Linked DNA regions of Danio rerio. The protein of the gene in region 1 purifies or fractionates together with the protein of each later gene. This does not show direct contact. Links are inferred from orthologs where the notes say so. Each region holds a gene or a part of one and is shown in the gene's direction. Other genes may lie near its edges.

Evidence for each region.
Region 2: the proteins of git1 (region 1) and nck1b purify together in Homo sapiens (affinity purification with mass spectrometry; 4 studies listed by BioGRID and IntAct, with this or other methods). This does not show direct contact. The link is inferred for Danio rerio from reciprocal best matches to the Homo sapiens genes GIT1 and NCK1.

What each region holds. Positions count from the first base shown.
Region 1 is NC_133190.1:30,983,423-30,989,714, reverse strand, and holds the start of git1 (ARF GTPase-activating protein GIT1), read left to right. Parts: upstream 1-2,212; 5' UTR 2,213-2,664; coding exon 2,665-2,716; intron 2,717-6,292. UniProt on the Homo sapiens protein: GTPase-activating protein for ADP ribosylation factor family members, including ARF1.
Region 2 is NC_133199.1:3,691,666-3,697,913, reverse strand, and holds the start of nck1b (SH2/SH3 adapter protein Nck1), read left to right. Parts: upstream 1-2,260; 5' UTR 2,261-2,298; intron 2,299-3,463; coding exon of another isoform or gene 3,464-3,540; intron 3,541-5,080; coding exon of another isoform or gene 5,081-5,125; intron 5,126-5,294; coding exon of another isoform or gene 5,295-5,366; intron 5,367-6,248. Other genes in the region: wdr37 (WD repeat-containing protein 37), read right to left, coding at 1,284-1,425, 2,026-2,260, 3,464-3,540, 5,081-5,125, 5,295-5,366. UniProt on the Homo sapiens protein: Adapter protein which associates with tyrosine-phosphorylated growth factor receptors, such as KDR and PDGFRB, or their cellular substrates. Maintains low levels of EIF2S1 phosphorylation by promoting its dephosphorylation by PP1.

The sequences.
Region 1 (6,292 bases):
TTTACAGATAACAGCCTAATAGAACAGAAAGGGATGTTGTTTGTGCTGATTTGATCAATATTATGGACTTTAAGGGATATTTCATCATCCAATCTTGAAAATCCTGTCATCATTTATTAATTCATTTTCTTTTCGGCTTAGTCCCTTTATCAATCAGGGGTCGCCACAGCACAATGAACCGCCGACTTGTCCAGCATGTTTTACGCAACGGATGCCCTTCCAGTTTCTTTTTTTATACACCTTTAAAATGTTATTTTAAAAAAATGTTGAAAATCTGTATGGCTGATTAGCACTGTCTTTGTTTCCCAGTACTGGGTTGCAGCTGGAAAACATATGCCAGAATAGTTGGCAGTTCATTTCCCTGTGGCGACCCCCCAATAAATCAGGGACTAAGCCAAAGAAAAATGAATGAATGAATAAAAAACCTGTAACAACTGAGTTCCATATTTTTTTCTAAAGTTTCCAGGTTTCTACCATTATTTTACAAATCCTCTTTTGTGTTCAACAGAAAAGGATATAAAAGCAGGGTGGGTAAATTTACATTTTTGGCTGAACTACATTGTGTCAATGTAATAAGGTCAGATCAGCTAAAAAAAAACAGACAAAAAAAACAACTGAAATAAATTAATAGGAAAAGTTTATGAGAGGGAGTGGGTAATGCTGTTGCCTCACAGCTAGAAGGTAGCAGGTTCAAGTCTCAGCTGAGTCAGTTGCCATTTCTGTGTGGAGTTTGCATTTTCTCCCCGTGTTAGCATGGGTTTCCTCCGGGTGCTCCTGTTCCACCCACAAGTCCAAAGACATGCGCAATAAGTGAATTGGGTAAGTTAAAAATGTGTGTATGTGCGTGAATGAGTGTGTATGGGTGTTTCCCAGTGTTGGGTTGCAGCTTGAAGGGCATTCGCTGCGTAAAAAAATATTTTGGATAACTTGACAGTTCATTCTGCTATGGTAACCCATGATTAATAAAGGGACTAAGCCGAAAAGAAAATGCATGAATGAATGAAGTTTATGAATAATTTAACTTATGTGCATTTGTCTGGAGGAGTTTTATTAAATTCTTAGTATTAAAACCTGTTAGTCTTTTGTGCTACTATACTGTTCCTTTCTTCATTAGAGGGGTTTAAAATAATGTATGCCAATAACCTCAAACATGGTGGCACAGTGGCTTGGTGTTAAACACTGTCACAACACAGCAAGAAGCAAGGTTTGAGCCCCAGCTGGCTGGGTAAGTTGGTGTTTCTGTGTGGAGATTGCATGTTCTCCCCATGTTCGCATAGGTTTCCTCCGGGTGCTCTGGTTTCCTCCTTGGACCAAAGGCATGCGCTATAGGTGAATTCAATAAACTAAATTGGCCGTAGTGTTTGTGTGTGAATGAGTGTGAGTTTCCCAGTAACACCCATACACTCTTATTCACACACATACACTACAGACAATTTAGTTTATTCAATTTATCTATACGTGTCTTTGGACTTCTATACATATAATATAATAACCAAACCCCAAAAGTATATGCACTTTTCTTTTTCTATCTTATAGTTTGAAGATTTGTATTGGAATGAGCTAATGTAAATTGGGCCAAGAAAACAACACATTGTGCTGCAGTGGGTAGCGCTGTTGCCTTGCAGCAAAAAGGTCGCTGGTTCGAGCCTCGGCTGCATGGGTCATTTGGCATTCCCCGTGTTTACGTGGGTTTCTTCTGGGTGCTCTGGTTTCCCCCACAGTCAAGACATGCGCTATAGGTGAATTGGGTAAGCAAAATTGTCAGTGAGTGAATGTGAGAGTGTATGGGTGATTCCCAGTGATGGGTTGCAGCTGGAAGGGCATCCACTGCGTAAAACATATGCTGGATAAGTTGGTGGTTCATTCCAATGTGGCGACCCCAGATTAATAAAGGGATCTGAAAATAAAATGAATGAAGGAATAAATAGAATCGAATGTGGAGGACTAGTATAAATAAAATATATTAATGAGATGATATTCCTTCTAGAAACACGTTATTTTAAAGTAAAAATTCAGAAGAAACAAACTTTTTTTCTTTTTACTGAGTTAAATTTTTTTAAAGCCTATTAGGAGATAGTAGGCATGTAATTAAAGTTATGTAAAATTCATCTCCATACTGGTGGGCACGACTGCAGGGTCCCTCTGCTGGGTCGGCCCCCGCCTGTGCACTGACGACAGTGGGGCAAAAGAGAGAAAGCGAGAGGCAGACGTCAGAGAGAGGGATATGCAGCCCGCCATACAGAAGTGTATGGGGCAGTGGATGTAAATAAACCGTGTACAGTATCCATACTTTACTTATTCCCACCCCCTTTTGCCTAAGAGACGGGCTTGGATAATGATCGGGGTAAAAAGATTATGGGGGCCACTCAAAATTAAACTGATTACGTCCGAAATCTGATAACGTAAGGGGCCTTCTGAAAATCTCATTCATCTTTGGGAATCGCAAAGTCCTCGTAGCGGCACGACAGAAGACACCGCAGGAAAAAGGAAGGAGAGAAAGAGAGAGAGAAGGGTGAGGACCGGGAGCACTGGAGAGCTCGTCGCCGGCTTCCGGACATTTCGGGGCGGCATTAAAATCGCAGACGTCGCTCCTGGAGGGAAGGAAAACCAGATATCTTCAGCACTGGACTAAAATTTCTGGAAGCAGCAGCTTTTGATTCAGCGATGTCCAGGAAAGTCCAGAGAAGCGAGGTGTGCGCCGACTGCAGTGCACCAGGTAAGGCTGAGATTTATGGATCAATGCGTTGTTGTGAGCCATGGCTGTCCGGGACTCGCCTGACCGCGGCGGATTGCGGAGGAGTACCAAGCCCGCGTATGCGAAGGGATACTGGGTTAAGCGCGCCAGGAAAAATGCCTAAAATTAAGGCCGATTCTGCGGCCCAACAAATCAGATTTTAAACGCACTCTTAACTTATATGTATCTTTGTAATGCGGTTGAACAGTGGTTGTTCAAGAAGTACAATCTTTTAGTGTATTCACAAAACTTGCATGACTTTAAATTTGGACTGCTTATTCCTGCTTTGCTGCCGTGGCTAAAGTTTTACCCCTTCTCGTTGTTAGCACCCATCCCAAGTTAAGTTGACAAGCCTGCGAGGTGCTGTCAATTAAAATGACCATATTTACTCCACACTTAGATTTGTTTATATGCAGATATTGTAGCGACAGCTTACTATATATTTAAATTGTGTTTTAGTAAATACTCCGCACTGAAAGCTCTATATATCGAACAATGCTAACTGTCAGTAGGCTAGGCTTGGTTGCTAAGTAGCCTGCGGACTCTCATTTGAGTCTCTTCCCAGTTTTAAGTAAAACACGTTTGTGTATTTAGAATCAGTTTTTATGACTGCAAGAGGTCCTACTTAAACATATTCGGTACATTTTTTGCGAATTTAGTTAGTATGAACATGGGTTGAGAATAGATAGATAGCTAACTAGCGCTAGCAGGTTGACAGGACACATCTAACGTTAACTCTGACGTGGGTCAGTGTTCGCTTCTGTTTGCTCTTGTCCACTGAATTGCTTCTAGATAACGGTTGTGTTTGTTATTCTTTATAATAAAATTAATAGTGGTTTAAAATATTATTAGACAAACTGTTTTTGTAGTTACCGCATGGTAACGTTAACCTTAAATTAACGATATGCTACATTAACCGTAGTTTAACTTTGGTTTGACAAATTGTAGTCAATGCACTAAAACATGTGTAATAGACTTTTATTATAGAAAAACTATGAATAATTTGATAGTATGTTGAGTTAACTGATAGTATTGCATTTAAATGCTGGAAAAAATGCTTAAATCTGGTCTTTATTTTACTGGTCTTAGTTGGTCTCCCAGTATGGCCAAGCTGTTGTGTAGCTGGTCTCCAAGCTGGTCTCTCAGCATGACCAGCTTAAAAAGTCCCTAAAAACCCACCTAAAACTAGCCAACAGACCAGTTTGACCACTTGGACACCACCTAAAAGCTTTAAACCAGCTTAAACTGTTTTTAGCACAACTGCCATTTAAAACGTATCGCTACATATTTCCATATTTCTGTAATAATTATGAGCAGTGGGTGAAATCTATCAGCGGTAATATACAAATTTAAGATGTTTTTAGATTTTTTTCTTTTCAAAGTTACTAAATGGGTTTGTCCTAAATAGAGCATAGGTTTAAATTATTTATAGCCATTTCTAGTTCCATCATGCATGCCTTAAGACACAATTTCCTGAAACCAGGGTCAACTTCCCTCTTTTTCCCTATAGCATTTTTATTTTAAATAAATAGGAACTATGTCGTTCTCAGCCATTTGTCCTCAAATGCATTGCTCAATAAATTACCAACAAGCTTAAACCAACCAAATAAAGACACAAGACCGCCTTCAGTTGTTTACAAAACATGTTTTAAATGCTGCTCAGCTGTGCCGTCACTTCAAGCCCACCCTTGGCCTTGCTCATTTAGTCTCACCGTCCCCATGGGGGGACCGAGGGGTGGTACGGGGGGCATGACAGCTGCTCTCTCATCCACAGCTGCTCTCTGCTCTCCACAAATGTACAAGTGTGTCTTGTTTTTGACAGTTTAGTTCTGTTTCACCTCTTTGGCTACCTGCAGTCTTGCTGTGAGCTCGACCAAAAGCTGTCACCGATGCCTGTGGGTTCAGTTATCAACAAAAATCCCCACCGATAGTAGTCATACAGTGCAAGAGCCAACATATTTATGGCAAGAGCGGTTTCTAGAAACAAAAATCACTGACAACATGTGCATGCATGTTTTTTTTTTATTACACTATGTTAAACCTAGCAGCAAATTGATTTGAGATTAGTTTAAGCTGTTAATGTTTACAAATGTCATTGATAATAACAATAATTAAAGCACAATCGATTTTTACGTTTTGAAGTATGTCATCTCAATGCATGTCTTCATCTGAATTTATCTGTTAGTGTGTGTGTAATTAAGTTCAATACTATTTTACATGGTGTTCTGTTGATTTATAGTTTGTTATTCAGTATTAATTTGAAGGTTTATCGTTTAATTAATAATTTATCAGTAAGTATGGTCTATCTAGCTATCGGTTTTAACAAAATCCAACATCGATTGACCTCTACTACTGCAGTGCACTAGAGCTTGTCATTTTCGTGTTTAACATGTTGTTGGAATGTAGATAATGGTAAGTGTGTTGAAGGCAAGTAACTGATGACTGAGAAAGGAAGAGGAGGAGGAGGTGGAGGGATGGTGGGCAGACAGACGGATGTATTCTGGTAAATGTGTTATTGGAATGAATGAATGTGGGGAAGATTGTCAATTGCATGGTCACTGAGGGCTGAATGACGCCCTGTGTGAAGAGTCTGTGTGTGTGTGTTAGCGAGTGGTGTGTAATTTCATTAGATGCGAAGAGAAACTCGGGTTTGAAGATGCTTCTGTTAATGTTATGAAGCACTTTTAGAAAGGATGAGGGTGTAAGTTGGCATCATCTTTGATTTTTCCCACACACAGGTGCTTGGCTTCGTTTCTGTTAATGTTCATATTTAGACCAATAAACAAGTTTATGGCACTGATTTATTTTTAATTAAGCCCAAAAATATTAGGTTCTTCTCTGCATGCTAGAATTTTTTTGGCTGTAAAATGAACATTTGCTGGATTTAAATAAGCCTTTCCTTCAGTAAAAAAAAACTGTCATCTTCAAAAATCCATTTTAATTTTTGATGAATGTGGGAGTTTAGTTCACATGAATAAAATAAATGCCTTTAGAAGTGAATAGACTTTTTTAAGAAGTCATTTTTCACCGGTTTCCGACAGCGAGTTAAGTTAAAATGTAGAACATGTAAAGCTAAGCTGATAATTGTGGAAAACAGAAATCCAAGTGATGGAGCCGAATAAAATAAATTCTGAGGCTAATTTATTCTTCTGTGGCCACTTTGCAGCCACATCTGATCTCTGGTTAAGTAGGACGGTGGACTCGTTCTTGAGCCTTATTTTGCACTTTATTGACGATGATTGGAAGCTGCGCCAGAGATGCTTTTAGACAGCAAATAAAACTCGTCAGTAAACTCTGAGGGCAAAAAAAATAAGTGAAATAATTGTTCATTAATGGTAATCAAGTTAAAATGTTCAAAAAGTCGAGATTTTGATTTTTGTCCAAATTGCCCAGCCCTATTTTAAATAAAAAAATATTTTTTTTGTAACTAGAAAACCAACACTTCATTTTAGCAGTCGTCGATTAACCAGCCCAATCCCACAAAGAAAAAAAATGGCTAATTCATATTATTTTATTTAGATGAACATGTATGATCTTTGAAAGGAGGCCCCCAAACCC
Region 2 (6,248 bases), on another chromosome or scaffold:
AGTTTTTATAATTATTAAATATTTTTTATTTAATACATTAACAATAAAAAAATATTATTGCTATTACTATTTCTACGATTATTATTGTTGTTGTTATTATTATTATTACTACTACTACTACTACTACTATTTATATTATTGTTATTATTATTGTTGTTGTTGGTATTATTATACGTTGTAGTAATTTATAAAATTAATAAAGAACAATTAAAAAAATAAAAATTTTATATTTAAAATGTTATAATAATAATAATAATAATAATAATAATAATAACAACAACATTGTAATAATTATTAAAATTAATACATTAACAATTAACAAAAGAAATATGTATTTTTCATTTAAAAATATTGTAATAATAAAATATAAAAATAGTAATAATAGTAGTAATTTAGCTTTTAATTCATTATTTGTTTTAATTCATACATTTTTTTTCATTTTTTGTTAAGTTTGCAAATGTTATATTTCACAAATATTTTCAATATTATTCACAACATTTTAATAAATATTCCAATATTTTATTTCACAAAAATGATCTGAGCAATTTTAATTACTATAACGGCGCCGATATGCATCACCCAAAACATATTTCTAATCACCATCATGACAAACGTATCATATTTTGCTTAATTTGTATAAATGTGCTACAGACAACAATAAATATAAAAATGATCTAAAATTACTATTCTGTTGATGCATTTTAATTTTTAAAACTAATTTTAGTAATCAAAAAGCTTGTAAAAAACGTCATAAAATGTATCAATTAACAGATATTTATTACAACTTTTTTATTATTATGGTAATAATAATACATAATATAATATATACAAAATTTTAAAATAATATTTTAGGATGCATTGATTTTTTATCACATTGTGTTTGGCGTTGTAATTTTAATATCTTAATTCATTCATTTTTTTTAAAGTATGTTTAAATAATAAAATCATAACACTTTAAGAACTGAAAATGTTATTAAAATATGACTATGGAAAACATTTTGAAAAAATATTCATAACTTTATCTATGGTCTAATACAAAAATATGTATTTATTTAATAAATATATAATATTTATTAAAATATAATAATAATATTTATTATTGTTGTTGTTATTATATTATTATGTCATATTAAAAAATATTATACCATATTATTTCTATAAAAAGCACTTTAATTTACTCTAATATTAATATTTTACAAGCATACAGTAATTTAAAGTGACACCAAATGTTCATTTTGGCAGGTTGTTTATATGTCGACGGTCAATAAGATGATGTGACTCACTCGGTGTGGCCCTGGAAGACATTGACTGAGTGGATGGAGGGATCTCTGAAGTCCCACAGGCGGAAGGTGGTGTCTCTGGATGAAGTGACCACCAGACGCTGAGTCGGATGAGTGCAGCAGTGGGTCAACTCCTGATCGTGACCTGCAAACACACACAAACAGGTAATGGTGAGGGTTAGAGCTGGGGTAGAGGTTGATACAATACAACTGAGTTGTAGTTGAGGGTTTAACAAATAATAAACAAGGCAACTTTATTTATATTGCACATTTCACACACAATGGTAATTCAAAGTGGTTTACATGAACAAGAATAAAAGAAACGAGTATAAGAAATAAAAAACAACAAATATTAAAAACTGGTGGCTCAGTGGTCGCCTCACAGCAAGATCACTGGTTTGAGTCCCGGCTGGGTCAGTTAGAATTTCTGTGTGAAGTTTGCATGTTCTCCCCATGTTGGCATGGGTTTCCTCTGGGTGCTCCGGTTTCCCCCACAGTTCAAACACATACGCTATAGGGGAATTGGTGAACTAAAATGTGTGTATGAGTGTGTATGGGTGTTACAGCTGGAAGGACATACACTGTGTAAAACATATGCTGGAATAGTTGGTGGTTCATTCCACTGTGGCGACCCCTGATAAATAAGGGACTAAGCCAAAGAAAAATGAATGAATGAATTAAAATATCCATAATAACTCTCCTTAAACACATTAGTAAATGTTGATTTATTTCTCCTCATGTTCACCTGTCAGGGTGTGCACCAGCTCCGAGGTCTCCACATCGTACAGGTTTGCGGCTCTGTCCCAGGACGCAGTGACCACCTGCTTTCCTCCCACCAGCCAATCAGCGGCGATCACCACGCCTTGGTGGCTCTTCAAGGTGGTTGTGGCCACGCGGATGGTGGGGCATTCATTGGGTCCATCAGCGTCGCCGTCTGCCTCGTCTTTATCAGAGAAATCCACGTCATCGTCCAGCGAGGCCTGAGTCGCACAGGAAATGACAAGAGCAAATGTTTGAGGTAATTTGATTTCATTACCATTTCAGCATCTCCAGCTGTTATTATGACCAGAAAAACTGATCAAATTGACAAACATTTCATAAAAAATAAAACACTTTTCTATAATTAAAGGGTTTACAGTGCACAGGATAAATGAGTACACCCTTTACAGATCTCGCTTTTACATTCATATTATTTTCTATAGGATGCTTCACAATATTATACATATGGTTCTGTGGGTGGGTGAAGCAGTGGCGCAGTAGGTAGTGCTGTCGCCTCACAGCAAGAAGGTCGCTGGTTCCAGCCTCGGCTCAGTAGGCGTTTCTGTGTGGAGTTTGCATGTTCTGCCTGCGTTCGTGTGGGTTTCCTCCGGGTGCTCCGGTTTCCCCCACAGTCCAAAGATATGTGGTACAGGTGAATTGGGTAGGCTAAATTTTCCGTAGTGTATGAGTGTGTGTGGATGTTTCCCAGGAATGGGTTGCGGCTGGAAGGGCATCCACTGCGTAAAAACTTGCTGGATAAGTTGGCGGTTCATTCCGCTGTGGCGACCCCGGATTTATAAAGGGACTAAGCCGACAAGAAAATGAATGAATGGTTCTGTGGGTCTCGTCTATCAAATCTGAGATTCTGTATTGGATTTAGGTCAGATGATTGGCTGGGCCATTCTACAGCTTGATTTTCTTTCTCTGAAAGCATTTGAAAGTCTACTTGGTTATGGATCATTGTTTTGCTGAAATGTCCACCCTGGTTTCATCTCCATCATCCTGCTAATGTAGATGTTGGACTGAAGCAGCTGATATTCATTTACACTGAGGAAAAGCAGAGGGTTACTGAAGAACTACTGAGAGATTTCAGCTGCTGTCTGGGCTTTCCATGCATTTCCACACCTCCCTTCATGTGTTCAATACTTTTTACCTGTTTCGTTTTATTACACAGAACATTTTAGTATTACTAAATTGTATATTTATTATTACTAATATTACACTTACTGTTAACTAATTAGTTTGTGTGTACTGCGTTTGTGTGTACTGTATGCATTTGTGTACGCATCTGTCTGCCTTTGTGTGTATGTTTGTCTGTACACGTGTGTCATATGCGTCTAAGTGTATCTGTCTGCGTCTGCATGCGCGTGTGTGTACGCATGTCTCTGTGGGTGTTTGTGTGTGCGTGTGTGTTTAATACTCACGCTGATGTCTGCTGGAGGCTGTGGAAGTGGCAGTTGTACCATGTAACGCCAGATGTGAGCCGTCTGGTCCCCGGACGCTGTCAGGAACAGACAAAACAAACACAGAGGCAACATTAGCAAAAAGAAAAAAGCACAGCCATTGATCAAATCACATTTAAAAGCATCTGGGAAATACAAATCTATATGAAAGAGAGAAACATCTCAGTCTTAATGCAGTACAGCCCTCAGTCATGAAATAACTCCTCATTAGCAGCATCATGAGAGATCAGCAGACAATCACACACAGTTGAAGGCAATATTAAAAGCTCTCTTGTGAAATTGTAATATGTTTTTAAATCTATCCCGAGCACCGTTCAACACAGCAAAGGCATTTTCACAATATTTTTATAACATTTGTTATTATTATTTATTCATTTATTTCACTTCGGCTTAGTCCCTTTATTCATTAGGGGTCGCCACAGTGGAATGAACCGCCAACTTATCCAGCATGTTTTACACAGCTGATGCCTTTTCAGCCGCAACCCAGTACTGGGAAACACCCATACACTCGCATTCACACTCGTACACTACGGCCGACTAGATTTCTTGCGGTGCGGAGATAAATTTCCGAAAGAAGCGCAGGAGCGGTCGGTAACTGGTTTAATTTTGTACAGAAGCTCGCGGTCTAACAATATCACTCCTGACTCCTGAGCGAGCAAGCACGCGTATGTATGTATGTGTGTGAATGAGACAGCCTGATGCTGCGCTTAGCTTGTTTCTTGCTGTGTGTGTGTGTGTGTGTGTGTGTGTGTGTGTGTGTGTGTGTGTGTATATGAAAGAGAGAGCTTTGTGCTGTGTGTGTGTTTATGCGTGAATGCGTGAATGAGAGAAAGAGCGTGATGCTGTCTGTGTGTGTGTCACTTGCTTGGTGCTTGTGTGTGTGTTATAGTTTGTTATAGGCTGTCTGGACTCTGTATAGCTGGGGGGTTTTCGCTTTTGTTCTCCCCCTCGTCCGTTAGCGAAAATGGGCGCAACGGGTAGAAAACGGGGCGGGTTGGGCAGAGGGACAACAAATGCTAAATATAAGCGGGAGCGGTCGGGTTAGGGCTAAAACCTGGCGGGAGCGGGATTCAAAATTTAGTGCTGCGCAGATCTCTAGTTTGGACTGTGGGGAACACCAGAGCACCTGAAGAACACGGGGAGAACATGCAAACTCCACGCAGAAATGGCAACTGAGCTTGGATTTAAACCAGCGAAATTATAGAAATTAAGTTGCATTTATTTTTAAAAATATTTTAAAAATCTTAATTTAAAATTCAGACAATTGAGATTTTTCTGAATTAAAAATCCGACATTTTTATTTCATTAGATTTAAGCATATTCTTCTCCTTCAATTTTAACCATTTACAGATAGACAGACGAATATTACTGATCTGTGATATAAATGAAATAGGCGTTCTTTACAATCCAGTTGCTGGATTATATATTCTATACTGTGGAAATTGTTATTGTCAATTGATCATTTTAATAAAAATACATATTGATTCGTTTTTCACCAACATATATTAATAAACAAGACACAGAAATATAAGACATTGTGTAAAAAAAAGCAAACCATTAAAAAGTTTTTGTGTATACCTGTAAGCGCCATCTGCTCTGTGGGATGGAACTTAATGGAGTTCACTGCAAAAACAGACCGTAAACATTCACTGTACACAACAATCACCAATCCTACAGCTCGTAAAACCCTGAAAATAATCACTTTCAAATGCAGGTTCACAAAATTAACACTTTTGTAAAGTGTTAAAGGCAGAAATGTTGACAGTCTGTGTACTGGTGAAAAGTTTCATACCTGATCCAGCGTGACCAGCGTATTTTAGTAGACACTTCCCGGTCTCAATACTCCACAGCATAGAGCAGTGATCTGAAGAGAAAAATAATAATAAATCACATACAGAGAGAGCTTAGCGCTCATCTGTGCTTTAGCTTAAATGTAATCATGATCACAGTTCAGGAAAAATAAAATAATATTCTATAATGCTACTGAAATTAATATAAACACTTAAATATATATTTATATACAGTTAAAGTCAGAATTATTAGTCCCCTTTTGAATTTTTTTAATATTTCCCAAATGATGTTTAACAGAGCAAGGAAATTTTCACAGTATGTTTGATAATATTTATTCTTCTGGAGAAAGTCTTATTTGTTTTATTTCGGCTAGAATAAAAGCAGTTTTTAATTTTTTAAACACCATTTTAGGGACAAAATTATTAGCCTCTTTAAGCTATATATTTTTTCAATAGTCTACAGCACAAATCATCGTTATAGAATAACTTGCCTAATTACCCTAACCTGCCTAGTTAACCTAATTAACCTAGTTAAGCCTTTAAATGTCCCTTTAAGCTGTGTAGAAGTGTCTTGAAAAATATCTAGTCGAATATTATTTACTGTCATCATGGCAAAAATAAAGTAAATCAGTTATTAGAGATGAGTTATTAAAATTATTATGTTTAGAAATGTGTTGAAAACATCTGCTCTCCGTTAAACAGAAATTAAGGAAAAAAAATAAACAGAAGGGGTGATAATTCGGACTTCAACTGTACACACACATTTACACAAGTAAATAAATAGAATCAATAGTAGGCTAAAACAATCTGGAAATCTGCGATGTGGGTCTACCAATGATTCAATTGTCGAAGAATATCCACAAAATCGATGGAAATACCGCCAATTGGAGCTCTGACAGCTTTTAACTGGTTTTAAATGACTAAAAAACAAATATAAGTGCAACATATGGATCATA